Linked DNA regions of Callithrix jacchus. The protein of the gene in region 4 interacts with the protein of the main gene of each other region in a pairwise test. Links are inferred from orthologs where the notes say so. Each region holds a gene or a part of one and is shown on either strand. Other genes may lie near its edges. The genes, in order: HSCB, COQ8A, MYG1, AGTRAP, BPIFA2, MIEF1 and SENP2.

Region 1 (4,000 bases), on a different chromosome or scaffold from region 4:
CAGCCTATAGGTTTTAAGTTATCTGGGAAGTCAGACAAAAGCTGTGAGTGAATGAGAGCTCTGGGTCTGGCAGGCTGGGGTCAGACTGCCATGGGCAGATACAGCTGATTTTCCAGCTCCGTCCCTGATAAACACATAGTCACAAGACCACTTCCCCCTGGTATGCACACATATTTGGGGATTATTGGGGTTGGCCAATAAGCTACCTGAGACCTCTGGCTGAAGAAATCTGGGTGGACAAGACGCTGCAGTTGCTGGTACCTGTGCTGGAGCTTCACAGTATCAACTCTGAAGGAACAGTTGCTGGAAGGAAATTGAGAGATTAAATTTATGTGACAAATATTTAAAGATTTGTTTACCAGGCCGGGAGCCGTGGCTCACGCCTATTATCCCAGCACTTTGGGAGGCCGAGACAGGTGGGTCATGAAGTCAAGAGATCGAGACCATCCTGGTCAACATGGTGAAACCCTGTCTCTACTAAAAATACAAAAATTAGCTGGGCATGGTGGTGCGCGCCTGTAATTCCAACTACTCGGGAGGCTAAGGCAGGAGAATTGCTTGAACCCAGGAGACAGAGGTTGCGGTGAGCCGAGATCGTGCCATTGCACTCCAGTCTGGGTAACAACAGCGAAACTGTCTTAAAAAAAAAAAAAAGTAGTAGGTGCTATGAAGGGATACAGAACAGAGTCAAAGAGGGTAGCAGATGTAGTGAACAAAGACATGGCATTACGCTGAAATTGGAATGATGATCAGTAATCAAAGATCAGAACAAAGAGTCATCCAGGTAGAATTCCAAGAGCAAGGACCTTGAGGTGAGAGCAAGATGGGGATGCTGAGGAACTTAGTGTTATTGCAGCTGCTAATACATGTTCAGTGACTGGTGGGGGCAGATTCCATAGTTAAGGGAAAGGGACATTCCTAAATTACACAAAGATTCTTTGCTTGGCCAAACTTTAGTCAGATTTCCAACCTTCTCCTAGGCCCTGCTGTGTGCTTTCTTGTATAATCCAGTTTTGGCAAAGAACCTTGCTAACAGTTTAGCTACAATCCTCAATCCTTATATTTTATCACCCTAGATCTCTGATTAGATTCTTCATCCCCTACCATCCTCCAGGAAGTGTCTGAGCACCCTGGCCTGTCTTTAGCAAGAGTCCTGTTAGGTTGGTTTAGTCAGAATCCCACTTACTCTGCTCCTTGGCTACAAATTCCCTCCTGGGCATGCTGTTTTTGGAGTTGAGACCAATCTCTCTCCCCCACTGCAAGACCCTATTGCAGTGGTCCCTCTACAAATGGTCTTGAAAAAAGGCTTCCTTTGGTGCTCGAATAGTGCTACTGAATAATTTTTATTTATTTTTAATTTTTTTTATTAAGATGGGGTTTCACCTTGATGGCCAGGCTGGTCTTGAACTCCTGACCTCAGGTGATCCACCCACCGCGGCCTCCCAAAGTGGTAGGATTACAGGCGTGAGCCGCCGCCCCCGGCCTTTTTTTTTTTTTTTTTTTAAATACCACCCTATCTCCCTATCTTTCCACAGTTCAGGTCCCTTTATCCCTGTCTCCCAGTTTACTTTAATCTAACCCCTTTCACTTTCTACTCCCAAAATCTGTCCTATTTCCTTACCAGTTCAGCTGTGTCCACACTGCCCCATCTCTCCAAGATCCTCACCCTCAGGGGAAAAAACCCCATGTATTGGACCCTCTCCCTCCAATTCTCACTTTTCCCTTAGGCCTCGCCCACAATATTAAGCTTTTCATGCTTTACTCCCCAATCTTGGACCACACTACTGCAGTCCTTTTTTTCTTTTTTTGAGATGGAGTCTCACTCTGTTGCCAGGGTGGAGCGCAGTAGCGCCATCTCAGCTCGCTCCAGTCTTTGCCTCCCGGGTTCAAACCATTCTCCTGCCTCAGCCTCGCAAGTAGCTGGGATTACAGGAGCGCACTACCACACCCAGCTACTTTTTTCTATTTTTAGTAGAGACCGGGTTTCACCATATTGACCAGGATGATCTTGAACTCCTGATCTCAGGTGATCCGCCCGTCTTAGCCTCCCAAAGTGCTGGGATTACAGGCGCGAGCTACCGCGCCCGGCCTTCTGCAGTCCTTTCTTAAAAACATCAACCCAACTTTAAACCTTCCAGACACTATCATTCAAGTCATCCAGTCTCCCAGGCCCTGGCCCTCAAGCGCCCTTTCCTCAAACTCCGCCCCTCGACTTCTCCTAACCTTTCTCGTCGGTACCGCCCCTCAAATCTCCCTCCACTGTAGCCTCGGCCCCCCATTTTCTCTAACTTCAATGCCCGCCGCTCCAGTCCAGTTCCTCTCCCTTCTCCACACCTCAACGCTGCATCCCTCAGTCCCCGCCTCTCAATTTCCTCCTGAGAAATCCAGACACCTCTCTAACGCCTGCTCTCCAGACCTCCGCCCCCCTATTAGTTCCGCCTTCTCTTCCGCCAGCCAGATCCGCCCTTCCCTCTCGCAGGCCAGCCCCCGACGTCTCTCTCGCTCCGGCAGGTTTTTCCGAAACCGTCGCTCGTACCAGTCCATGAGGCTGAAGTAGTCTCGAGTGGGGTCAGGTGCCTGCAGCGCTCGGCACTGTGGGCAGAAGAACCCGTTCTCCCGCCCCGGGCCCCCTGGGCTGCCGCAATTCCAACAGAGGGGCGAATTGCCTCCCGCCTGCGACGCAGGATCGCAGCTTAGCGGTCTCCTTCCGGGAACCCCGGGCGGCCAAAACCCCCACACCCGGAGCAAAGCCCCAGCTCTCCGCCGCCACATCTTGCCGGCGGCCTATCTAGCCGCGGTCACTAGTGGGGAAAAGCAGAGAGAGCGGCCAACCAGACTAATGCTGCTGATTGGTCGGGGAGTCGAGGGGGCGGGAACAACCGAGGGGAATCTGGGTTCTGAGTTCCGCTCTGCCTTCTAAACTACAACTCCCAGGAAGCATTGAGGCGACGCCTGACGGCTACATCTGCTGCTTCTCATTGGTCCGGCGGCAGGGGAGGGCGTTTTGATTGGCTGAGGGTGGAGTTTGTATCTGCAGGTTTAGCGCCACTCAGCTGGCTGAGGCTGCGGAGAGTGTGCGGCTCCAGGTGGGCTCACGCGGTGAGTCATATGGGGACCTTCTGTTGGGTGTTAGGTGGTTCGAATCCCATCCTCAGCGTTTTGTGCGAGGGGAGTCTCCTGAGCTTCGCTTTGTTTGTATTTTTGAGCTGAAGGGGGAGTGTGTGGGCGACTCTCTTCCTTTTTAGTAGATCATCCTCGAGGTGAAATTCACTTCCCGTGTTACTTACAAGCTGAAACAGGCCTGAACATACAGGATAAGAAGGAACAGAGTTGTGTTCTTCAATATCAGAACGAAGTTACTTTGTAAAAAGTTCTACAGATGTTTGTAATCATTTCCGTTCTTTAGGTTCAATATCTAAAATACTTACAGAGAGACCAGTCTTAGCTACTGGGCGCTGCAGGAACTGGAAACGCACTGAGGTGTGTAGGAGGATGTTCTGCAAGTGTCCCTAAGTATATGGGATGGGGTGGCCAGGAGTGGGCAGGAGGACATTAGTCCTCCTTCGGACTCAGGTTTTCTAGGTGAAAAAAAGATGGTGTTTCACTTGTAAGTCCTCTGGATTTTTTTTTTAAATTACTTATTTGTGATATAAAACATACATATATGATTTACCATTTGTACCATTTTAAAGTATACAATTCAGTGATGATAAACACATATTCTTTTCTTTTTTTTTTCTTTTTTTTTTTTAATTTGAGACAGAGTTTTGCTCTTGTTGCCCAGGCTGGAGTGCAAGGGCGCAATCTTGGCTCACCGTAACCAGTTTCTCCTGGGTTCAAGCGATTCTCCCGCCTCAGCCTCCCTAGTAGCTGGGATTACAAGCATTTGCCACCACGCCCAGCTAATTTTGTATTTTTAGTAGAGACAGGGTTTCTCCACGTTGGTCAGGCTGATCTTAAACTCCCGACCTCAGGTGACCCTCCTGCCTCGGCCTCCCAA
Region 2 (4,095 bases), on a different chromosome or scaffold from region 4:
GCAGTAGGCACAACACAACCCTTTGCCTAAACCTCTCACCTACTCACGGGCAGGTCCCAGAGGGGCCACTGGCAGCATAGGAAAACTCTTTTTAGAGTCTTACCTCAGTGGTTCTCAACCAAGGAAGATGTTGCCCTCCAGGGGACATGTGGCAGTGTCTGGAAACATTTTCATGGTTGCAACGGCTAGAAGGGGCGGGGAGTGGTGCTAGTCTAAAACACAGAAGCCAGGGATACTGCTGCACATCCTACAATGCATAGGCCAGGCCCCCCCACGACAGAATTATGGGTCCAAAACGTCATTAGTCCACAGGCTGAAAAACTTTGTCTTAGATAACACACTGGCTCTGAGGGAGGCGCCCAGATCACCCAGTTTACTTTTCCTTTGAATCGCTCAACATTAGGCCCCAAATCATGACGATTCTGCATAGTCCGCACTATTTGCAAGGCTGAGCAAAACACTCAAAGTCATCGCCTGAGTTGTTTGCTTGTTTGGGTTTTTTAACATTGAATCTTGCTCTGTTGCCCCGGGAGGAGTGCATTGGCGCATCTTGGCTCATTGCAACCTCCACCTCCCAGGTTCAAGCGATTCTCCCATCTCAGCCTCTGGAGTAGCTGGGATTATAGGCGCCCACCACCACATCCGGCTAATTTTTGTATTTTTTTAGTAGAGATGGGGTTTTGCCATTTTGGCCAGGCTAGTCTCCAACTCTTGACCTAAGATGATCCACCCACCTCGGCCTCCCAAAGTGCAGGGATTGCAGGCGTGAGCCACAGCGCCCAGCACCTGAGTCTTAAAAATGCTGCTCCTGTAGCTCCCCTTTTGTCTCTCCTCAGGTGAAAGGCTTTCCTCTGAAAGAAGAGTCTCCGAAGAGCCCTCCTGCCAGGGAAACCCACCCATCCACAGCGTGACAACTGGCAGGCTGGCATCAATGCATGTTCAAATTCTTTGGCAATCAGGTAGACCTGGCATTACGAGCTACCCAGTCATGTCACGTAGATAGATCCAAGGCCCAAGTGAACGTGCACAAGTTTTTCAACAGGCTGCAGGCCCAACTCAGGCTGGAAGACTGTACACAAGCCTCTTACCCTCCAGAAAGCTGACATCTTGCACCCAGATGGGGAGTCCCAATACCCAAACCTGCCCCTGCAACATTCCCCATCGCCCAAGGTGGGTTTGGCAGAGGGGCTGTTACCTCTGTGCAATGGGTAGGAATGAGCCTTGGAAAGGCTGGAGTTTAGGGGAGTAAGCCCAAACCACTCACAAGACTCCCAGCGTTTGGAGAAGTAGAAAAAGCCAAAGAAAAGCAAAAGGAAAAAAGGATCAAAAAGGACCCCCCTGTCCCAAGTCCACCCAAAATTCCCACCTGTGAAGCCCAACAGCTGGCTCCAGTCAAGGTAGTCAAATTCGGACCCAAACCTGCAGCCAGGGGCAGTTAGAGCCGCAAGACCCACACACAGTGCAAGAGGGTCTGGGAGTTAGAACAACATTAGAAAGCGAGGCAGGAAAGCTGTACTGGCGACCAAAGGGCACGGGCAGCGGGTGATTAGCAGCGGGAAGGCGGTCGGGCAGGCAGCGGGCGTGTTCCAGGGACCCAAGGTTCTGCACGCGGCCCTCGTCTTCTCACCGAAGCAGGATCGAGGGGCTGAGGTGGACACAGGGACGGGAGACAGCTGCAGAGGACCCACCCTGCACCTGCGGGGCGCCCACTGCGTCCGACCTGAAGCTCGCGGCCCGCGAAACTCGCCAGGGGAAGCCGTGCTGTCACATGAAGAGAATGCAAGAAGGGCTCAGGTGGGTGTTAAGCCTGGCTCTGGCCGCAGCCAGACGGCGCTCCTGCACGCGGCGGGCCGGCGGGTGGCAGCCTTACCCGGCTGCAGGAAGCTGGGTTCCGCGGTCACCTTCCAGCCGCCTTTGCGCGACTGCAGCCACGCTGACGCCCACCACGCGCTCCGGATCTATTTACCAACTGGCTGGCGCCCGGGGAGGCCCAGCGCCCAAGCCCCGCCCCGCAGGGCGCTCCCATTGGCGGCGCCACGGTCCGCCTGCTGAACGCCGCTCGGCACGTGGGAGCGTGCTCGGCCCGTGCTCCCGGTCTGTAGCCAATCGCCATTGAGGGCGGAGCAAGAGAAGCCAGTGGGAAGCTGTCTTAGCCCACGGGTCTCTTCCCTTTCTCCTCTTCCCTACCTCCCAGCTACCTTTCCCGCTAGTTAGCAAATCCTGGCAGGAGGCCTGGCTTTGGAGTTGGTGGCCTGCGCGCATGCGCCCTAAGAACGGGTGCCTTTTATACTGTGAAGCGGCGTGCGCGGCCGAAAAGGCCACGCGTGTGCCTGTTGCCTCCGTACTGGTGCTTGCTGGACCTCCGCGTGGGCCTGGGAGGGCAGGCTGTGGGCCGAGCAGACGCTTCTGTGGGCGTGGAGGGTGCCGCTGCTTTAAGGACCGGGCGAGGGCTGCTCTTTGCTCCACTCTGTAGCAAGAGCCCCTTTCCCAGTGTCCACAAAAAGCACTCTGAGGAGTGGAAGCGCGGCGAGCAAGGCCGATCGCACTTCCGCCTCCAGCGTCCCGGCCCTTCGGGTTAATGATGCTTGTTTTGTGTGGCGCCATCCTCAAAACAGGAAGCCTCTGCCAGCTGCGCCCCAAGGATAGACAGGGCGCTCACCTGAGTCGCTGTCCGCCTGCCGGTCTCGTCGGCCTGCAGGTGCCCGCAGTCGCTGACCCCCGGGGTTTTCGGGGGCGCGCAGCCAACAAGGGACGGAGCTCAGGTCCAGCCGTCGGCGGCCCCGGAGCAGCCCTGGGAGGCACCGTCACCAGCAGCACGCAGATTTGCCCCGTCACTCCCTCCCTAACGAGAAAAGGAACGTATGAGCCAAGGTCGGCCCGACAGTTTCCACTCAAGTGACCCCTAAACACTGGTCTGCAGCTATGTTAGTTGTTCTTGTGGAAAAGTGAGAAAAATTTAGTAAGTTTTTCATAAAATGAAATATTCAAGCCAAAGGATTGTTCCTTATTCTGAGCCTCCCCCCTCCCCCGCCAACTTTTTTTTTTTTTTTTTTTTTTTGGTATTGTGAAACGAAAATTCACTATGCCAAAAGGAAAAAAATTAAGCTGAAAGCTGAGTCATGCAAGCAATGTTCCTAAGCAGGTAGCTACAGATTAAAGTATCTCCATTTTATGTTCACCTTATCTTGTGTAAAGTGCCGATTTACTGAGCACTGGACAAATACATAATTGGCTGTTTCCCTACCTGCTCATTTTATCACAACACGTGGATTCAGTAATGTGACCACACCTTCCATCTTTCCCCTCCATACTGCTCTTCCCCTTTAAATACTGAAGCCCTCAAAATCATCTTTGGAGAAAGACACAGACCTGTCTCCTGGGCGCGAGTCCTTGACCTTCACAACATAAATTTCTAAACTGATACAGATACTTTTTGTTTCACAGTATTGACATTTAACTTTATTGAAAGTCGTTTGTTTTATATTATCACTTGGAAAAATTTAAAGTTAGCTGTTCTAGGTTGATGCCTAAAGTTAGGGCTGCTTTATTATCATGATATCCAGAAGCGAACCTAACTTCACAGTTCCCCATTGACCACTTGGGGCTTGGCTTCCCAGAGGTCTGCCTGAGTCCCCAAGAACAGAATTGCAAGTGTGTGTGATGTGGGTGAACACAGCTCTGTGTCAGGCTCTATTCTTCCTAGGGGTATGGGAGGGCTTTCTTCCAAGGAGAATGGAGACTGTGCCTTGTAGCGGCTGTGGCTGGGCACTGGTCAGCTGGTGGGTGCTCCTCTCTGCACAGACATTGACATGCCCTCCCCCATCTTCACCACACTAAATACAAAGTCCATTTTAAAGGAGAATTAAGGAGTTATTTTGACTCAAGTTTCAAGTAACTGCCGCAGAACAGTTCACAACTTGTCTTGATTAGGTCAGCTGGCTCCCTTTTCCCACTCAGGAGAAACAGACCAAGCCTCCAGGCCTTTCAAGGGTGGCCGTTGCTTCCTTCCTGGTAACTGTTGCCTTATACTGCCTGCTTCCTCCAAGCATTCCCAGCCTAGTAACCCACATGACAGCCCATGGAATAACAGAGTTC
Region 3 (3,987 bases), on a different chromosome or scaffold from region 4:
GAATCGCTTGAACCTGGGAAGTGGAGGTTGAAGTGAGCTGAGATTGCACCACGGCACTCCAGCCTGGGCAACAAGAGTGAAACTTCATCTCAAAAAAACTAAAACTAACTAACTGAGGCAAGGCATGGTGGCTCACGCCTGTAATCCTAACACTTTGGGAGGCTGAGGCGGGTGGATCACCTGAGGTCAGGAGTTTGAGACCAGCCTGGCCAACATAGTGAAACCCTGTCTCTAATACAAAAATTAGCCAGGCATGACGGTGGGCAGCTGTAGTCCCAACTACTCGGGAGGCAGAGGTAGGAGAATTACTTGAACCCTGGGAGGCAGAGGTTGCAGTGAGCTGAGATTGCACCACTGTACTCCAGCTTGGGTGACAGATGAGACTCTGTCTTAAAAATAATAAAACAAAAAACTGAGTAAATACAAAAGAATATATAAAATATTCACAGGTATGACACAAATGATAGTTAACCCCCCCATAAAAGTTCAGAAAGAAGCAAAACTAAGCATACTGTTCATGCAAATAGACATTTGCTAAACTATACAGAAGGACAAGCGTATGAAGAACACAAATTAGGACACTGCTCACTTCTGGGGGCCGGTGTGGGACAGGATGGAGAGAAGCACACAGGTATAGATGCAAAGGTACTGGCTATGTTCTAGTTTCTTAGGCAGGGAGACTTTCATTTTATGTTCGATATTTTAGAAACGTTATATTCTTTGTTTCAAATGTATAATTTTTAAGTGTATATAAACAAAACAATTTGATAAAAGGAGGTGGTCAATAATGCCAAGTGCTAAAGAGATCAATTGAGACCTTTTGTGCCAGCTCCCTGGTTTGGTGCTGAGGTCACTGGTGCCCTTCTGTTGAGCAGTTCCAGTGGAGACTGGGAGTGGGCTCAAGGGGAATGAACTGGAAAGGAAGAGGTGAAGCCATGGTCAGCTGATTTTTGAAGGGCAGCTGAGGAGTGAGTGTGAGAGCTTAGGCTGTAAATATTGGGAGGGTTTCCTCCTGACATTGTTTATAATAATATGTATGCTATAAAAAAAAAAAAAAAAAAGAGAGACTCAAAACATCATAAATCCCTCTCTCCAAGATAATTACTTTTCATGGTATGGTATAATTGAGGGAGGGTTTTGTTTTTATATCTTTATTTCTCTTAAAGATGGAAGATACTTGAGAAGGGTTTTAGGCTGTAGGGAAGGCGAGGCAAAGACACTGGTGGAACTGTGACATGAAATCCCAAAGGATAGGCTGGCAGTGGCTCACGCCTATAATCCTAACACTTTGGGAGGCCAAGGCCGTGAATCACAAGGCCAGGAGTTTGAGACCAGCCTGGCCAATATGGTGAAACTCCATCTCTACTAAAAATACAAAAATTACGTGGCACGTGCCTGTAGTCCCAGCTACTCAGGAGGCTGAGGCAGGAGAATCGCTTGAACCTCGGAGGTGGAGATTGCAGTTAACTGAGATCACACCACTGCACTCCAGTCTGGGCAACAAAGCAAGACTCTGTCTCAAAAAAAAAAATCCCAGAGGACAAAGTAATAGACTGGAAACAGGGCAGAGGATTAATCTCCGATAGAAGGGAACAAACTTCCCTGAATTGGTAGGAGGGAGCTGAGGATAGTTTGGGGTGGGAGGAAATGCTTAATTTCTTTTTTTTTTGTGTGTGTGTGTGATGGCATCTACATCATAAATCTAAAGAAGACCTGGTAATTTCTTTTAAGAAGAGGCAGGGACATTGAGTTTGATGCTGTAGAGGCTTGAGGGGGAAGAAAAGGATTGGAATGGACTACCCTTGAGCAAGGATTTCCCTTTGGAAGGGTGTAAATAAAGTAGAAAACTTCACACATTTGAACTGTCATCAACTGCCACAATCATGTGGGCCCAGCAGTTAGGTGCAGCAGCAAGGGCACCAGAATGGACTAATAAAAACAGATGGCTTTATCTAGCTGGGACGAAGTCGCTGGTGGGGAAAAAAACCCCCAAAACCTTGGCTAAGGAAGGAGATGAGATAAGGAAGGGGCTCGAGGGACTTCTTGGAACCAAGGAAGGTCCCAGGCCAGGGAGATGGGTGAAGAGCAGACAGCCGGAAAGAAGGATGGTATATCCTAGCGGGAGTTGACTTCAAAGATGAGGCAGTTCTTTTCCCTGACACGGACCAAGGATGGCTCAATTGGAGCAGAGGAAAGTTGAGATCAAGGAAGTTAAATAAATGATATCTGGGAACCTACCTCTGGTGATGGTCATATCGGTGTCTCTCAGGGTCGTACTCGCCCCCCACGTCCACCACGATGTCACAGGAAGCGAGTTTTTCGGGATCCCGGGTCCGCACAATCTCTGCATCCTGTGAGGTACATAATGGGTGAAGGGGCTGCCAGGGGTTGCCGGGTAGGGGATTAATGCTGGACTTCAGGGATGCAGGGCAGGTAGGAAGGGTGCTTGGGCTGCTGGACGCTACCGGAGAGACCCTGATAGCGGAACGCCGTCCACCCTGGAGGCAATGCATGCACGCAGTCTCAGGGTCACTTTTGCGGACCATACCCGGTACTCTGGCAGCAGGCGAAGCAGTGCGCATGCCAGTGCCTCGTCGCAGTGGAAGGTGCCATTGTGCGTCCCAATTCGGGGCGGTGCCATGAGTTTGCTGCAGGGTCGCTTCGAGGGCGGGACGGACTCTGGGCCGAACTTGTGCCGGCTATAGAAGGGTGGCGGCGGCAGCAGCAGCAGCGTATAGAGGCCGCGTAGGAAGCGGTGGCCCATCAGATCCTCCCCGCAGGGAGGCGGGAGCGCCGACCCGGAAAAGGAAGTACCGGTGCACCTCCACTTCCGCCTAGCGACCGTTCCCTTGGCAACCAGCTCTGCAGCGTGAGCAGCACAGTCCCAGCATAGGATTTCCTCCAGCTGGTCAAAGGGCCCTGCGGTGGAGCCTCCAAGAAGAGAACCGCATCACCCCTGTGCATCAGGCTCTGGGGCGAGGCCCACACTCTCGGCCACCCCCGCAATCTCATCACCAATCCCTTGCTTAATCCAAGAAAAGACCAACATTCTACCCAGCTGGCACATTTATTGGCATTAAACACAAGACCCTTCCCTTTCCAGCACCAGGAAGCCATGCCCAAAGGGTGTCCCTCCCCATTTCTGTAAAAACTCTCAGGCCTTAGCAGTAGCCTGAGCTGCCCCCAGGGCTGTGAGCTGCTGAATCTTCTGGCTCATCATTTCCATGACAGCTGTAGAAAAAAAGATGAGTCAGATCTTGGTGACAAGCAAAAAGGAGAATCTAGAGTTAAGAAGTGACAGGCAAGTTTAAGGACAGGAGAACAACTAACTGCAGTTTATTAATAGAACTTTTTTTTTTTTTTTTTTGAGATGGAATCTCACTGTTGTCACCCAGGCTGGAGTGCAGTGGCATGATCTTGGCTCACTGCAACCTCTGCCTCCCAGGTTCAAGCAATTCTCCTGCCTCATCCTCCCAAACACCTGGGATTACAGGCATGTACCACCACGCCCAGCTAATTTTTGATTTTTAGTAGAGACCAAGTTTCACCATGGTGGCCAAACTGGTCTTGAACTCCTGACCTCAGGTGATCCACCCGCACTGGCCTCCCAAAGTACTGGGATTACAGGCATAGGCCACCGCACCCGGCATTAATAAAACTCAGTGATCCACTGTGAGGTCACTAACACAAATTTAGGGTCTATGGTGAGAACAAGACTCCGTCTTGAAAAAAAAGATGCTAACCGCAGATATAAAAACAAACACTAAATGAGTCACACATAATCAGAAGACTATAATGTGGAAAGATTTTTACCTTTCACACATAATCAGAAGACTATAATGTGGAAAGATTTTTACCTTTAGAACACTGGTTCTGAATTCTGATTTTAACAGAGGGGAGCTTTTTTGGGGGGAGACAGAGTCTCACTTCGTTGCCAGGCTGGAGTGCAATGGGGTGATCTCGGCTCACTGCAATCTACACCTTCCT
Region 4 (2,537 bases):
TCAGCAGAATGTCTTGAGGTCTCCCCATTCACTTTTCTTTCCCATCATGTCCCCTGCCACCCAGGTTTCCTTGGATCTTCTCAGGACCGTAGTGCCTACCAGACGATTGATTCACCAGAGGCACCCGCAGATCCCTTTGCAGTCCCAGAGGGCAGGGGTCAAGATGCCCGAGGGTACTGAAGCCAGCCACGCTGCCTCCAGCCCCACCCCAGGTTCTAGGGATGCTCCTGACCTCTATCTCTGGGACCTAAGATGGAATGTGTCTCCAGCCCACGGGTTACCTGAACCAAGTGCCTTGAGAGACCAGGAGCCCCCATGGGCCACCCAGTACACACACTCCTGTCTCAAACTCCCTGAGGCCTCCCTCCCTTCAGGGCACCCGCTGGTTCCCGGGTTGGAATGAAAATCTTTCTTCACCTCCTACTCCATCAAGGCACCACACAGGCCCCCAGCTGAGTCCTGCATGACTGTGGCAGGCTCAGGCCTTTAAGTCCTGGTGATGTCTGTTTGTTGGGCTTTGGGGGAAGCCCTAGAGCTTCAGGTCTGCTCAGCCCAGGAGCAGTCTGGCATGGGAGTGAGGTCCTGTGCTTCTCACTGCCTGGTCATGTGGTGCCTAGCGATACAGGGCTGGAGGCCAGAGGCATCAGCAACACTGACCCACCACAGCCTCCAGCCTCCCTTTTTGGAGCCACAGCATTAAAGTTTGGGGAGTTCTGTAGATGGGCTGTGTTTTGAGCCACTTTCAGTCTCCTGGCTGGGGTGGGGCCTGGCCTTGTTCCTGGGAAGATTTCTCCTGCCAATTCCCAGGTGGAGCCTGCGCTGGGCCACCCCATTCTGTTGTGGCAGGAGGAAATGGGCATGTTTGTTGGCTGAGCTGGGCTTCTGCCTGACTCTGGCCTAGCAGAGGCCACAGCAGAGAGACACTGCTGGGTGTGGTGCGTGGCATCCATTTCTCTGAACCAGATGACCCAAGCACTGGTTTGAATCCTGCTCTGCCACTTACTAGTTGCGTGCCTTCAGTGTCTTCTAGAAAGGGTGGGTGCCTGCTCCAGGTGTAAAGTGTCTGGTGTGAGGAGGGCTCCCTAAGTGATGGCGAAGTTGTTAGTGGACTTGCTCCTCACACCAGTGATGATGCTGGGTTAGGCAGCAGAGGGGGAACTCTTCCTGGCAGCCCCTGTGTCTGGTCACAGCTGACTTGGGCTGACTCATCCAGAAGCTCCCCAGGGCCCAGGCCTTCCCCACTGACAGGTCTGGCTCTCCACAGCTTGCTCTTCTGCCCCCTGGGCGCCAAGTGCCAGGGCTTTCCCAGGCCATCCTGGCTTGTCCCTGGCACAGGGTCAAGGCCTAGTGCACAGCCCCCATCATTCACTTGTGTCCATCTGTCAATCAAGAGACTCAGTACCTGCCTGGTGCTGAGTGGGCTGGGGGCTGCAGTGGTGACCTTTGGAGCCTGCTCTCTCGACCTAGGAGTCTTCCCACCTGGAGGATGACAGACAGGGGCAAGAGCCCCAAAAGACGGGGACATGGGCCTCTGGGCCAGGAAGGAAGACTGCTGTGGGGAAGGGGCTGTGCTCCGGGGGCTGCCGAGCAGCAGCAGTTGTGAGAAATTGGAAACAGCCACGCTGTCAGGAGACAGACCAGTAACCCACAGTCCATTCATTACAGGGAGCACAGACCAGTAAGCCACAGTCCATTCATTATAGGGAATGTGGACCAGTAAGCCACGGTCCATTTACTGTAGGGAATATGGACCAGTAAGCCAAGGTCCACTGTAAGCCACAGTCCATTCACTATAGGGAGCACAGACCAGTAAGCCACGGTCCATTCATCATATGGAGGACAGTGCAGTAAGCCACGGTCTGTTTATCCTATGGAACCCGGTGCAGCAGTTACAGCAGATAAACCAGACCTATTCCTACCAACGATGGTCCCCAAAAATATGAACAAAGCAGATTGCACAATGGCATTGGGATGAATTTTCAGACCTCACAGTTTGGTGTGTGTTGTTCCTGGGTGTATGTGCAGTAAAATAGAAAAGCAGGGACTAGAAGGACACCTGTCAAGTTTATGACTGAAGCCATCCTGGGTGGAGGGGGGAGTGTGGCCTGAGGGGAGTGGGACTAAGACCCAAGTCCATTTCTCTTGTGTACACGGCTTCCTGGCCCCAGGAAGTCTTGTTAAGTGCCTGCATCGTGAACATGTCGGATTCCCGAAGGGAATGAGAAGCCAGGGCAGGGGCTTGGCCCAGGCAATGGGGAGCAGATGATGGAGCCTCGACCACCCAGAGGGGAGAGTGTATCTAGAGGCCTCGGTTTCTCATCGTCCCAGATCCCCAGGTTGAACTGGCTCTTTGGGGGAGAGGACAGAGGAAAGCTCCTGTCTTGGGGGTGCCCCAAAAGCAGAGCCTGTGATGAAAGCAAGGGAGCTGGGTTTTCCAGTCATTGACCAGGAGCCACTCAGGGAGTGGGAGAGGCTGACTTAGATTTGCAGGCACCATGACCCCTGACCATGCAGACAGTTGGGACCCCGAGAGCCAT
Region 5 (4,094 bases), on a different chromosome or scaffold from region 4:
ACTGCAGTAAACATATGTGTACATGTGTCTTCATAGCAGAATGGTTTATATTCCTTTGGATACATACCCAGTAAGGAGATTGCTGGGTCAAATGGCATTTCTGGTTCTAGATCCCTGAGGAATCGCCACACTGTGTTCCACAGTGGTTGAACTAATTTACACTCCCACCAACAGTGTAAAAGCGTTCCTATTTCCCCACAGCCTTGCCAGCTCTGTTGTTTCCTGACTTTTTAATAATTGCCATTCTTACGGGTATGAGATGGTATCTCATTGTGGTTTTGATTTGCATTTCTCTAATGATCAGTAATGATGAGTTTTTTTCATATGTTTGTTGGCTGCATAAGTGTCTTTTTTTTGAGAAGTGTCTGTTCATATTGTTTGCCCACTTTTTGTTGGGGTTGTTTGTTTTCTTCTTGTAAATTTAAGTTCCTTGTAGATTCTGAATATTAGACTTTTGTCAGATGGGTAGATTGCAAACATTTTCTCCCATCCTGTAGGTTGCCTGTTCACTCTAATGCTAGTTTCTTTGGTTGTGCAGAAGCTTTGCAGTTTAATTAGATCCCATTTGTCAATTTTCCAAGCTTACGGAGAGGAAGAATCAATATTGTGAACGTTGCAATTCTACCTAAAGTAATTTTTACTTTCAATGCTATTCCCATCAAACGACCATCGACTTTCTTCACAGAATTAGAAAAAACTACTTCAAATTTCATATGGAACCAAAAAAGAGAACGTATAGCAAGACAATCTTAAGCAAAAAAAACAAAGCTGGAGGCATCATGCTACCTAACATCAAACTATATTACAAGGCTACAGTAACCAAAACAGCATGATACTGGTACCAAAACAGACATATAGGCCAATGGAACAAAACAGAGACTTCAGAAGTAACACCACACATCTACAACCATCTGATCTTCAACAGACCTGACAGAAACAGCAATGGGGAAAGGATTCCCTATTTACTAAATGGTTCTGGGAAAACTGGCTAGCCATATGCAGAAAACTGAAACTGGACCCCTTCCTTACACCTTATACAAAAATTAACCCAAGATGGTTTAAAAACTTAAATGTAAAACCCAAAACCATAAAAATCCTAGAAGAAAACCTAGGCAATACCATTCAGGACACAGGCATGAGCAAAGACTTCATGACACCAAAAGCAATTGCAAAAAAAGGAAGCAGTAATTCTTATAGGAGGAGGAGGACAACATGTCTTATGATAGGTCTCTGGAGAACAGGGGGATGAGAATAAATGTTGTGACCTGGTGTGGTGGCTCATGCCTATACTCCCAGCACTTCAGGAGACCAAGACAGGAGGATGGCTTGAGGCCAGGAGTTCGAGACCAGCCTGGGCAAAATGATGAGACTCCATCTCTACAAAAAATGTAAAACTTAGCCAGGTGTGGTGGTATGCACCTATAGTCCCAGCTACTGGGGAGGCTGAGGTGGGAGGATCAGTTGAGCCCAGGAGGTTGAGGCTCCCAGAGTACTCTAGCTTGGGTGACAGAGTGAGACCTTGTTTCAAAAAAGAATAAATGTCATGGTCGATATAGGATGATGCCCATGAAAAGAATTAAGCACACATGGGGAGAAAATAATTCAACTGAGAAACAACAGGGCAATTACTAACTTAAGGAAAAACCAAAAACTATATAAGGAAAGAGATGTAATCATAATGTTGTAACTTGGCTCTGTCATGGACAGTATCTACCTAGCTGCAATGATTGGGAGAATGACGCTTTAAATAAAATTGGTGATATAACTACATCTGATTGTACAGCTCACTAGGGTGACCTTGGTTTAGACATTTCTGACTCTGGGTCTCAGGTGTCCCAGCTATAAAATTAGAGTGAGTCCTTTCTGCATCTTTGAAAGTTACCTAAGTCCTTGACAAGGTTTGAAAGGCACCATGTGCAGAAGTTACCTCCTCCTACCAAAACTGCTTTTGATATGCTGCTAATGTTTCCACAAAACTAAAAGAAAGCCAAGTTATTTTAATGTTAGCATAAAAAGGAGATATAATTAAATATAAAGGTAGGTAGCCTTACAGATACTGAGGTTAGGTCGGGATAATTTCCCTAATTTTCACTGAATTAGCACGAGTGAATAAAAGAACCCCCAAAGAAAAATATGCTAAGAATACACAAAATACTCAAGTTAAAATATGTAAGTACACAGTAAATATATGAAAAAGGAGAGGGTTCTTTTATAATTAGAGGAATGCAAAGTGAAATAAGTTATCACTTTTCATCTGTGAGACTGGCAGGGCATGTAAAATTGTCCATACCCAGTGCTGGAAAGGGATTGGAAAAAAAGGCACTCTTGTAGACTGTCAGAGAAAGTGTTAACATAGGAGATTATTTGTCAACAGCATAGTTTTTGAACTTGTGAAATCCCACTTATAGGAATTTACCTTATGTGTATATTGGCAAACGTTTATCAGGATATAATATGTAGAAGGATATTCACGTGGCATTGCTTGTTCCTAGAAAGATAAACGAATCAGCCAGGAATTGAATAGCCACTTTTCTCAGTAAACCACCCATAAAGAGTAGCCCCTGGTGGCAGCCTCTGGTAATGCAGGCATAGTGTTTAGGAGGCTAATTTAGGTGACACTGATCATCACACTTGTTGATTTACCTTTAAGAGTATTGTCAATTGTCTTAAGTCCTTCGTCAAGAACAGGTTTCTGCTCATCCACGACATTGCTCAGGTCATCACCAAGATTGCCAAGAAGAGACGCTGAGGTCCCAGTGAGCAGGCTGCACAGGAGAACAAGTTTCCAAAGCTGAAGCATCTTTTGTCTTGACACCTGGACAGTCATGAGAAGAACAGGAGTGAGAATTGCCCAGGGAGAAATGGAATCTTCAATGAGTTCCAATCACTCCTAACATTTAACATTCCTTTAAGACAGATGTGGTTATTTCCTGTTTTACGAATGGGCAGCCAAGGTCAGAATGTTACAGCAACTTGCCCAGAGACACATGGCCAGTGAGCAGAGGAGCTGGGATTTGAAAAGTCAGACTTGACTCCAAGCCCATACTCTTGATACAAAGTTCCTTTTCACACGCTGTCTTCTCTGCCTAAAATATTTTTCTTCTTCATTTTTCCACGTTGGTCAATTCCTACATCATGCCCTCTGTGAAGCCTACTCTAGGCCCCTACCCAGATTCTAGGTTGGGGGAGTCTCACCTTGCTGTCTTCATTATCCTGATCAAGGTCCTGGGTAACACTTCCCTGATGATTTGTCTGCCTTTCCTACCAGGCTGACAAAGGGGAAGGATTTAGGGGAAGGACTGTAACTTATTTCACTGTCAAATCCTCAGGCCCCAGTAAAAGCCTGCACCTAGTACAGTACAGTAAACAAATATTGAACAAACCAATGGCAACCACCTCATGACTCTGCACTGCTCATCAGTTTGACACTTATTTTAATACAATCTATAGATATCTAAATTTGCTCTGATTTGCTATTTATCTTGACATCTGGACAGTCATGGGAGGAATAGTAGTGAGAATTGCCCAGAGGGAAATGGAATCTTCAGTGAGTACTCATCACTAATTTGTTGTTTAGAGCAAATTTAGAGCTATATTGATTATCTCTGCCGTACTCAAAATATTAGCTAACCCAAGCAACCCGCCCCTCTGCCTCTAGCCCCCAAAGCCTTCTGAAAACCACCATGTGGGACACCACTGGGGGAAGCATGGCACTCACGGGTTTAGAGGAGGATGCTCACGAGATCCTTTCCCCGCTGCGCAGTCTGCCGGGACTCTGCTGAACATTGGTGGCCCTTATATGGTGGTGATGGGATGGAAGACTGCCCACAGAAACAAGCCTTGGTTCCGGGACCATCCAAGGATACTCCAAGGAAACTAACCCCTCTCCAGGATGAGCAGAGAGAGATTTCCAACCCAAAGGTCAACCAGGATGCTTGAATTTAAATGGATGGTTATGGAGAGGGCTTTCTGCCAAGACTAAGAGCAGGTCCTCATGGAGCCTGCAGCTGCCAAGCCGGTGGTCCTTGTGGGTGGGGACTGGGGAGAAGGCTGAGAATGAATGAACTGGAGAATGTCCTGGCAGGAGGACCCAT
Region 6 (3,952 bases), on a different chromosome or scaffold from region 4:
CTGTTGCCAGACTGGAGTGCAGTAGTACAATCTCAGTTCACTGCAACCTCTGCCTCTCTGGTTCAAGTGATTCTCCCGCCTCAACCTCCCAAGTAGCTGGGACTACAGGCACGCGCCACCACACCCAGCTAATTTTTTGTATTTTTAGTAGAGACAGGATTTCACCACGTTGGCCAGGATGGTCTCGATCTCTTGACCGTCGTGATCCACCCGCCTCGGCCTCCCAAAGTGCTGGGATTACAGGCATGAGCCACCACACCCGGCTCTCCACTCATTTCTAGTGACTAAAAGAACGACTTTGGTCCTTTCCTCAGTCCCTTGTGACAAAAAATAATGAAATCTACAGGAACGAGGGTCTACATACCTGAAGCTTCTTAATGCATCTGTGAGGTGGGGATGGGAGAGACCAGGAGTGTTTACAGAAGGCACCTTTGTCCTCTTTCCTTTGGAGGAGCCTAAATTATCCTTCCCAATTTGCCGTGAAGAAAGACCAGGCCCTTCTCCAGCTGCCTCTCCCGGGCCTCAGGGTCCTCTAGCTTCTGATTTTTTCGGAATTCACGGCGGATGGAGGCAAAGTAGAAGTCTCGATCAGTGTAGCGAAGCTGTCGGCCCTGGCGCAACAGAGCCCGATAGAGACTCAGCACCGCCTCTCGGCTCCACGGGGCCATGGGGGACTGGCAGGGGCTGGGTGTCACACTATAAACAGAAGGAAAGACAGACAAGCCTAGTATCAGGATTAATAACAAAAGGACCTGTACAGACTATGTAGTGAGTGGTTTTTAATCCAAGTTCCAGAGACCCCCTAGGTCACCCTATGACTTAATGGCAAGGCTAGGTAGGACTAGAGACCCCCACTCTGAATGCCCATTCTGGGAACATACAGGTTGTGGTTCACCAGGGCTCAAATCCTGGCCCTGACACTTACTTGCCATATGACTTTGTGCAAAGGACTTAAGCCCTGATGACCACCAGCTTCCTCACTTATAAAATGGAGATTAGGATATTATGGCAATAGTACCCACAACCTAGGGTTATTTTAAGAACTGTGCATGTAAAGAATAGTAATAGAACTTCACCAGAGGGAGTGGTCTCAGAGTGCTTGAAGACAAGCACTCAGTCATGCTTGAATCCCAGCACCAGCACTTACGAGCTGCATTATCTTGGGCAAGCCTCCTAACCTCTCTGTGCCTGTCTCAGTTCCTCATCTGTAAAGTGAGGATAAAAATCGTATTTTGTCCATGTGGTTGGCATAAGCACTAGATGAGTTTAATGTATGTGAACATGTTTAGAACAGCACTTGGCACACACTAAACACTATCAATAGCAGCTATTATTAGTACCACCTGGCCAGGTTTGTAAATGCTCAATAAATATTACATTTAAGTATAAACTACCACTGTCTTCCTTCAGTAACAATAAACCCTTACACCAGACTATTTGTAAAGTGCTTTGTTGCCCACTATCATTTAAACTATCAATCTAGGAGGTAGTCAGGGTTCTTAGGAACCGTTAATGCTTATTGCATCATATTATTGCACTATATACATGTGCAATGCTTTTTTTTTTTTTTTGAGACGGAGTCTCTGTCGCCAAGTCTGGAGTGCACTGGTTTGATCTCAGCTCATTGCAACCTCCACCTCCCGGGTTCAAGCCATCTCCCTAGTAGCTGAGACAACAGGCCTCTGCCACCACACCCAGCTAATTTTCCTATTTTTAGTAGAGCCAGGTTTCACCATATTGGCCAGGATGGTCTGGATCTCTTGACCTCGTGATCCACCCACCTCTGCCTCCCAAAGTGTTGGGATTACAGGCTTGAGCCACCCAACCTGGCCCACTGTGCAATGTTCTAAGCGTCTCATATAACAACTCATTCTGTCAGCTACCCTAGGGTTATCATTACCCCATTTTAGGTGAAGGAAACAATCTCTCAGAGGGCCCACAACTTGCCCGAGGGCCCACAACTCTCAAGGGGAGGGCTGCACTCTTCTAGACTCTGCCTGCCTGTGGAATGAGTTACTCTTTGCTGGAGCCGGACCATGTGTACACCAGTTCTGGGTGCTCCACGAACTTTCCCAGCACAGCTCTTGGCACATACAAGGGCTCAAAATTATATTTAACGAATGAGGGAATTGCATTCACAGCATCCCTATGTGGAAAAAATGATCACCTTCGTTTCAGAAACAAAGAAATGAGACCAAGTGGCGGAGGTATTTGGCTGGAAAAAAAGATTGGACTTTGGGCCCAAAGTCAGCTAGCCCTTGGCCTCCGGCCTTGCTAACTTCCTGCGCAAGCTTCAGCAAGTCACCATCTCTGTCCATTTTTCCTCATAAGAGCTCCCGCGGCCCTAAGGGCCTCCCGATGCAGGAAATCAACAGGACAAGTGTCTGATGAGGTAAAAGGCGACTGTCACGACGAGGGCTGTAACTACAAGGTCGCTGAGCAAGTGGGCGGCTGAGCTCCAGCCAGTCCGCATTTCCCCGACCCTGGGGGCCGGGCCGGGGTAGACCGGCCTGGGGACCCGGGAGGACTCTGAGGCTGGAGCGGGGCGGGGCTACCGAGAGGCCTCGCAGGGGAAAGCCCAGGGCTGAATGAGGCAAGACCCCGGCGGCAGGCCGGTATCCCGGGCCTGGGCCGCATGCGGGGCGCCGGCAGCAGCCTGAGGGGAGGCGCTGCGAACTCCCAGCCGCTCACCCGCCGCCGGTCCTCACTCGTTCTCTCACTCACCCGCAGGCCGCACGCGCTACCACTCCGCAGGACTCGCCTCTGGCCCGGTACCTCTCTCGGGGTCACCCATCAACATGGCCCCTTAACTTCCGGGACACGACCTTGCGTACGGAGCTGCGAAGGGGCTGAAGGGAGCACGAGGGCGGGCGAGGGCTGAGGGACTTCCGGTCTTCTCCTCCACGCTCTCTCTCGGGCCCCGCCCCCTATGCATGGTTCCTCCCAATCCTGAGCCCCGCCTCCGTGTCATCCTTGTGTGACGTCAACAAGGGACGGGCCTGCAGAGGCCACTCGTGCCCCGCCCCCAGAGGACCCCTGGGTCCGGGTCCGGCTGTAGGTACCGGGAAGGTCCCGAGCTGGCAGAGAGAGTCAGAGGATAGGACAGGCTAAGGGGCCCTCACCTGCTGACGGCCCCTTAGCCTGTCCGGGATGCCAGGCCAGCCTCCTGCACCATCTGTTGATCTCTAGCTGGGGCCCTGGGGTACCTGAGGGAATTATAACACTAATATTCAGAGCTCTTCCAAACCCATTTTCTCAGATCGCCTTCTTTCCATCCCTCCATGCTGTTTCCACTCTCCAGGCCTAGTGGCTTCTAACAAACTCCTACCCTTCCTTCAAGGTCTACTTCAAATGTCCCCCTCCACTGAGAAATCTCTCCTAGCCCATTCCTTGCCTCCCTCGCACTCTTGTTCCTTCTTTAGGCCCCACAGAAATGTCTACACACCTTAAGGCTCTTAATCTGTTCAACAACAAAACATATTTATTGGCACCTAACATTTGCCAGGCACTGTGATTCATCCATTTGCTTCTCTGTCTCTCATTAGTTTTGAGTACAGAGGCTGTGTCTCTATGGAACGCCCCACCCCCAAGTGCCTCCCTCAGTGCCTGGCTCAACCAAGCCAGGGCCTGGGGCTTTGGAGTCCAGGGCCACCGCTGGGTCCTAGTTCCAGTTCCACCACTTAGGGACAGCTGCCCTCTGCCGCGTTTCCTAACTTCTCCCAGCCTTGGGGCTATGGTGAGGATTCAAAAGTAATATCTACCAGGAGAGGTGGGCAATTACAGGCTATCTGGCTATCTGATAAAAGGACAAAAACCAGAAGAACTTTGCAGGGAAGAGCTTTTCAGGCCTGTCCCCAGATAAGCCCTTAAGCTAGCTCAGTGTGATCTAGGAGCAGCAGGGAGAAGGCCAGTGCTTCCGAAGCCAGGTGAGCAGGAGCTGGCAAAGAGGCCA
Region 7 (4,090 bases), on a different chromosome or scaffold from region 4:
TTTTTTTTTTTTTTGAGACGGAGTTTCGCTGTTGTTACCCAGACTGGAGTACAATGGCACAATCTCGGCTCTCCGAAACCTCTGCCTTCTGGGTTCAAGCAATTCCCCTGCCTCAGCCTCCTGAGTAGCTGGGACTATAGGCGTGCACCACCATGCCCAGCTAATTTTTGCTTTAGTAGAGACGGGGTTTCACCTTGTTGACCAGGATGGTCTCGATCTCTTGACCGTGTGATCCACCCGCCTCGGCCTCTCAAAGCGCTGGGATTATAGCCGTGAGCCACCGCGCCCAGCCTAGAAAGCCATCTTTTACTTTAGGTGACAGTATTAACATGAACAGCCTTAAAAGATATTTTTTTTTAATTTTTGTTTTTTCTTTTGTGTGTGTAAGGGAGTTAAAAAAAAAAAAAAAAAAACTGTTCTACAAGGCCAGGCACAGTGGCTCACGCCTGTAATCCCAGCACTTTGGGAGGCCTAGGCAGGTGGATCACCTGAGATCGGAAGTTCAAGACCAGCCTGGCCAATGTAGTGAAACACGCCCCCCCCATGCCACCCCACCCCCATCTGTACTAAAAATACCAAAAATTAGCCAGGCATAGTGGTGGGCACCTGTAATCCCAGCTACTCGGGAAGCTGAAACAGGAGAATTGCTTGAACCTGGGAGGCAGAGGCTGCAGTGAGCCTAGATCACGCCATTGCACTCCATCCTAGGCAACAAGAATGAAACTCCGTCTCAAAAAACAAACAAACAACAACAAAAAAAACCTGTTCTACAACTTAAAAGAGAGAAATCTGAATCAGAAAAAGGTGTTTAATAACTTTTATCATGCAAACTACATTGCATTATGGTGGTAATAAAGAACTTCGGAATTGAGGAAAGTTTCAGGATCCAGATGTCAAGAATGTTAAAGGCTCACAGCATATTACTCATCGTCTCTCTGAACACCTATCATCTATTATATTCACACACATACACACACACACACAAAATGAGAAGAATGAGATCCCAGGATTCCACTCAGCTCATACCTTTATACATTCCAACAAGCCTCCTGGTTTCATTTTGACTGAAAATTGGTTTACACTGAAAATTGGATTAAGGATGTGAACACACTTAACATGTAGTAAAAATCAAGGTTTTGATCTCCAAACCATGTTCCCCAGACTAGAAGGGACTCACATCAAAAAGAGGACAAGGGAAAGGGAATTAACTTTCTGTTATTTGATAAATATGTACCTAGTGCTTATCATGCACCAGAGTCTGCAAAAGACCCCGGGGTAGAATAAACAAACACTACCCTTATATACATTGAGCATCAGTTTAAGCACTTTACAACAAGTTCTCAAATGAACCTTACATCAACACCACAGAAAGATAGGAGAGAAAAATAAGGCAATGTATTCCAGAGATGCAGTTTAAGCAACAACCAATTTCATTAATAACCTGCATTCTCAGACTAACGTATTAGACATCTTGTCCTCGCAAGCTTCCACAAATCACCACTTCTTTCACTTTTCTTGATATTGAGGCTTAATTTTTAAAAAATGAAATTAACACTTGATCACTGAACTTGGGGAGGGGGCAGAATTTGTATGTTATTTTCTAGATTAATTTCTAGGCAAGGAGGTCAGTCGATTCGATAAAATGGGACGCTCCAAAGAGCAGATGCTAAATAAGAACAGCTTTTGGGGCGGGGCACGGCGGCTCATGCCTGCAGTCCCAGCACTTTGAGAGGCTGGGGTGGACAAATCACTTTAGGTCAGGAGTTCAAGACCAGCCTGGGCAAGGTGGTGAAACCCATCTCTACCAAAAATACAAAAATTAGCCAGGCGTGGTGGCACACGCCTGTAATCCCAGCTACTCAGGAGGCTGAGGCAGGAGAATCATTTGAACCTAGGAGGCGGGGGTTGCAGTGAGCCGAGATCGCGCCACTGCACGCCAGCCTGGCGACAGAGCAAGACTCCGTCTCAACCAAAAAAAAAAAAAAAGAAAAGAAAAAGAAAACTGCTTTGAGTTTCCCCCAAATTTTAACTTAATTTAAGAGGACAGACTAGTGACTGTTTTAAAGTAATAAGGCACGTAGCCCTTTTTTCTCATTCACTAATTCTAAAACACAAAACCCTTCTGGCCCCAAACACAGACTGTTTGACAGCTGTTTCAGAACAAAACAGCTGCTGTTTCTCGCTTCAAGGACAGTGGTTGCAGTCAAAACGGCTTTGGGCAATGTATGACTCTCACTTCCTTTAAATGCACTTAATGACCGCAGATGACACTTGGGAGGCTGCTTTGTGAGCAGTGAGCCACAACAAAGGCAGTATTCCTTCAATGTTGGTGTTCAGCCTAGCGCGGCAAAGCCCCATTAGTTATCGGCAACCAGCGTGGCCTCTGACAAGAACGTCAACGACCCTGCCATCATCTGCCGCTCCGAAGACGACCAGGAGCTGCCTCCCCACGGCGTGGCGGGGGCGGCTACGTCACTCGGACCCCGGTGACCCGCCTCAGGTGAGCCTGGCTGAATCAAAGCATCTCAGCCGCCGAGGAGGCCGCTGTGGGGGAGGGGGGAGGGCCAGGCCGCTGCTCAGCCCCCTCTGGTCTCACCTGTTTGAGCGCCGCCTCTTCAGGAGGGCCCGGGCAGGGGGCACCGACTTGTCGCAGAAACGGAAAATGGTGCCGAGAATCCTAACCAGCCATCTGTACATACCAGGCCCGAGCAGCAGCGGCGGCCGACACACCCCGAGACGCAAACCCCAGAGCTGTCGCCGCCGCTGCCGCCTTCGCCGTCTCAGCCACCACAGCCGGAGTTCGGTCGCTGATTTGTGACGCGATTTAAGGGCCCACAGATAGAGCGTCCCCAGGGCTACCCGAGGCCCCCGCCCGCCACCGCTCCTGACGTTACCTCCTCCCGCCCAACCGGAAAACTTCATTCTCAATCTGCGCACGCGCAACCTGGCAGCGCCCCCTATTTCCGAGCCCAGCAACAAGAATAAGTGTGGGACGGCCCCGGCCCAATCGCTGACGAGATCGGAAGGGCTGTGGGCAGAGTTTTCTCTTCGGCGGAGCCAATTCCGAGCCGGCCCGTGGGACAAGGCCCACAGGCCACACGTGAGGCTGCTCCACCGAGGAGAAGGCGTTCCGGGGTTCCAGAGGACATTTGGTGCTCAAGTGTTTGCACACGTAAAGGTGGATCAGGTTAATTAACACATGTTTACCGTTTTAGGAGCCATTTATTTTTTTTATTTTTTAAAAAAATTTTTTTTGAGACGGAGTTTCGCTCTTGTTACCCAGGCTGGAGTTCAATGGCGCGATCTCCGCGCACCGCAACCTCCGCCTCCTGGGTTCAGGCAATTCTCCTGCCTCAGCCTCCTGAGTAGCTGGGATTACAGGCACGCGCCACCGTGCCCAGCTAATTTGTTGTATTTTTAGTAGAGACGGGGTTTCACCATGTTGACCAGGATGGTCTCGATCTGTTGACCTCGTGATCCACCCACCTCGGCCTCCCAAAGTGCTAGGACTACAGGCTTGAGCCACCGCGCCCGGCCAAGAGCCGTTTATTTTGTACTTACCTTTTGCCTCGTACTTTACACGCATTGTCACCTTAATGTCGCCCAGCAACCGCATATGACAGAGAGTTTTATGCCAACTTTATAAGTCAAGGAAATTGGGGCATAGAGCGATTAAGTTATTTGCCTAAGATCACAAAACTAACTAGAGACGTAGCTGGAACTTGAACCCGGGGGCTGAGTACAAGCCCTTAAGGTCAGTCTACTTGGAGACGTGTACATAGATAATTACAAATTACAATACAGCATAAGTGGTTACTGTGATAAAGGTATGTGCAGAGTGCAGTGGGAGCCAGAGAAAGGAAAAGCACACACTGAAGGAGAGAAGGAAAGGGCAGATGTCAAGAAAGGCTTCACAGAAATTTAAGGGTGAAACCTGCCGGCCATTAATGTCTCCTACCCTGGGCTGGTAAGGAATGAGTCTCATTACCCTCCCTCTACAATCCCAAAGTCGTACTTCTAGTTAATTGCCTACTATAGGTCGGGAGAGGTGGCTCCTGCCTTAATCCCAGCACTTTGGGAGGCCGAGGTG

What was found.
Region 1: the proteins of AGTRAP (region 4) and HSCB interact in binary tests that used the Homo sapiens proteins (3 or more experiments, as listed by UniProt). The two-hybrid records come from large-scale screens. The link is inferred for Callithrix jacchus from reciprocal best matches to the Homo sapiens genes AGTRAP and HSCB.
Region 2: the proteins of AGTRAP (region 4) and COQ8A interact in binary tests that used the Homo sapiens proteins (3 or more experiments, as listed by UniProt). The two-hybrid records come from large-scale screens. The link is inferred for Callithrix jacchus from reciprocal best matches to the Homo sapiens genes AGTRAP and COQ8A.
Region 3: the proteins of AGTRAP (region 4) and MYG1 interact in binary tests that used the Homo sapiens proteins (3 or more experiments, as listed by UniProt). The two-hybrid records come from large-scale screens. The link is inferred for Callithrix jacchus from reciprocal best matches to the Homo sapiens genes AGTRAP and MYG1.
Region 5: the proteins of AGTRAP (region 4) and BPIFA2 interact in binary tests that used the Homo sapiens proteins (3 or more experiments, as listed by UniProt). The two-hybrid records come from large-scale screens. The link is inferred for Callithrix jacchus from reciprocal best matches to the Homo sapiens genes AGTRAP and BPIFA2.
Region 6: the proteins of AGTRAP (region 4) and MIEF1 interact in binary tests that used the Homo sapiens proteins (3 or more experiments, as listed by UniProt). The two-hybrid records come from large-scale screens. The link is inferred for Callithrix jacchus from reciprocal best matches to the Homo sapiens genes AGTRAP and MIEF1.
Region 7: the proteins of AGTRAP (region 4) and SENP2 interact in binary tests that used the Homo sapiens proteins (3 or more experiments, as listed by UniProt). The two-hybrid records come from large-scale screens. The link is inferred for Callithrix jacchus from reciprocal best matches to the Homo sapiens genes AGTRAP and SENP2.

The regions. Positions count from the first base shown.
Region 1 is NC_133502.1:199,430,530-199,434,529, reverse strand, and holds the start of HSCB (iron-sulfur cluster co-chaperone protein HscB), read right to left. Parts: upstream 2,801-4,000; 5' UTR 2,773-2,800; coding exon 2,537-2,772; intron 2,367-2,536; exon of another isoform or gene 2,290-2,366; intron 304-2,289; coding exon 207-303; intron 1-206.
Region 2 is NC_133520.1:22,353,897-22,357,991, forward strand, and holds the start of COQ8A (atypical kinase COQ8A, mitochondrial), read right to left. Parts: upstream 2,801-4,095; 5' UTR 2,660-2,800; intron 1,939-2,659; exon of another isoform or gene 1,367-1,938; intron 213-1,366; exon of another isoform or gene 104-212; intron 1-103. UniProt on the Homo sapiens protein: Atypical kinase involved in the biosynthesis of coenzyme Q, also named ubiquinone, an essential lipid-soluble electron transporter for aerobic cellular respiration.
Region 3 is NC_133510.1:66,252,564-66,256,550, forward strand, and holds the start of MYG1 (MYG1 exonuclease), read right to left. Parts: upstream 2,801-3,987; 5' UTR 2,765-2,800; coding exon 2,549-2,764; coding exon of another isoform or gene 2,466-2,548; intron 2,352-2,465; coding exon 2,239-2,351; intron 1-2,238. Other genes in the region: PFDN5 (prefoldin subunit 5), read right to left, coding at 3,155-3,231. UniProt on the Homo sapiens protein: 3'-5' RNA exonuclease which cleaves in situ on specific transcripts in both nucleus and mitochondrion. Involved in regulating spatially segregated organellar RNA processing, acts as a coordinator of nucleo-mitochondrial crosstalk.
Region 4 is NC_133508.1:49,636,402-49,638,938, forward strand, and holds the end of AGTRAP (type-1 angiotensin II receptor-associated protein), read left to right. Parts: intron 1-64; coding exon 65-180; 3' UTR 181-2,037; downstream 2,038-2,537. UniProt on the Homo sapiens protein: Appears to be a negative regulator of type-1 angiotensin II receptor-mediated signaling by regulating receptor internalization as well as mechanism of receptor desensitization such as phosphorylation.
Region 5 is NC_133506.1:6,119,884-6,123,977, forward strand, and holds the start of BPIFA2 (BPI fold-containing family A member 2), read right to left. Parts: upstream 2,801-4,094; coding exon 2,644-2,800; intron 1-2,643. UniProt on the Homo sapiens protein: Has strong antibacterial activity against P.aeruginosa.
Region 6 is NC_133502.1:190,253,263-190,257,214, reverse strand, and holds the start of MIEF1 (mitochondrial dynamics protein MIEF1), read right to left. Parts: upstream 2,801-3,952; 5' UTR 2,725-2,800; exon of another isoform or gene 2,168-2,724; intron 697-2,167; 5' UTR 669-696; coding exon of another isoform or gene 456-668; 5' UTR 365-455; intron 1-364. Other genes in the region: MIURF (mitochondrial ribosome and complex I assembly factor AltMIEF1), read right to left, coding at 456-668. UniProt on the Homo sapiens protein: Mitochondrial outer membrane protein which regulates mitochondrial fission/fusion dynamics.
Region 7 is NC_133516.1:14,535,832-14,539,921, reverse strand, and holds the start of SENP2 (sentrin-specific protease 2), read right to left. Parts: upstream 2,801-4,090; 5' UTR 2,698-2,800; coding exon 2,597-2,697; intron 1-2,596. UniProt on the Homo sapiens protein: Protease that catalyzes two essential functions in the SUMO pathway.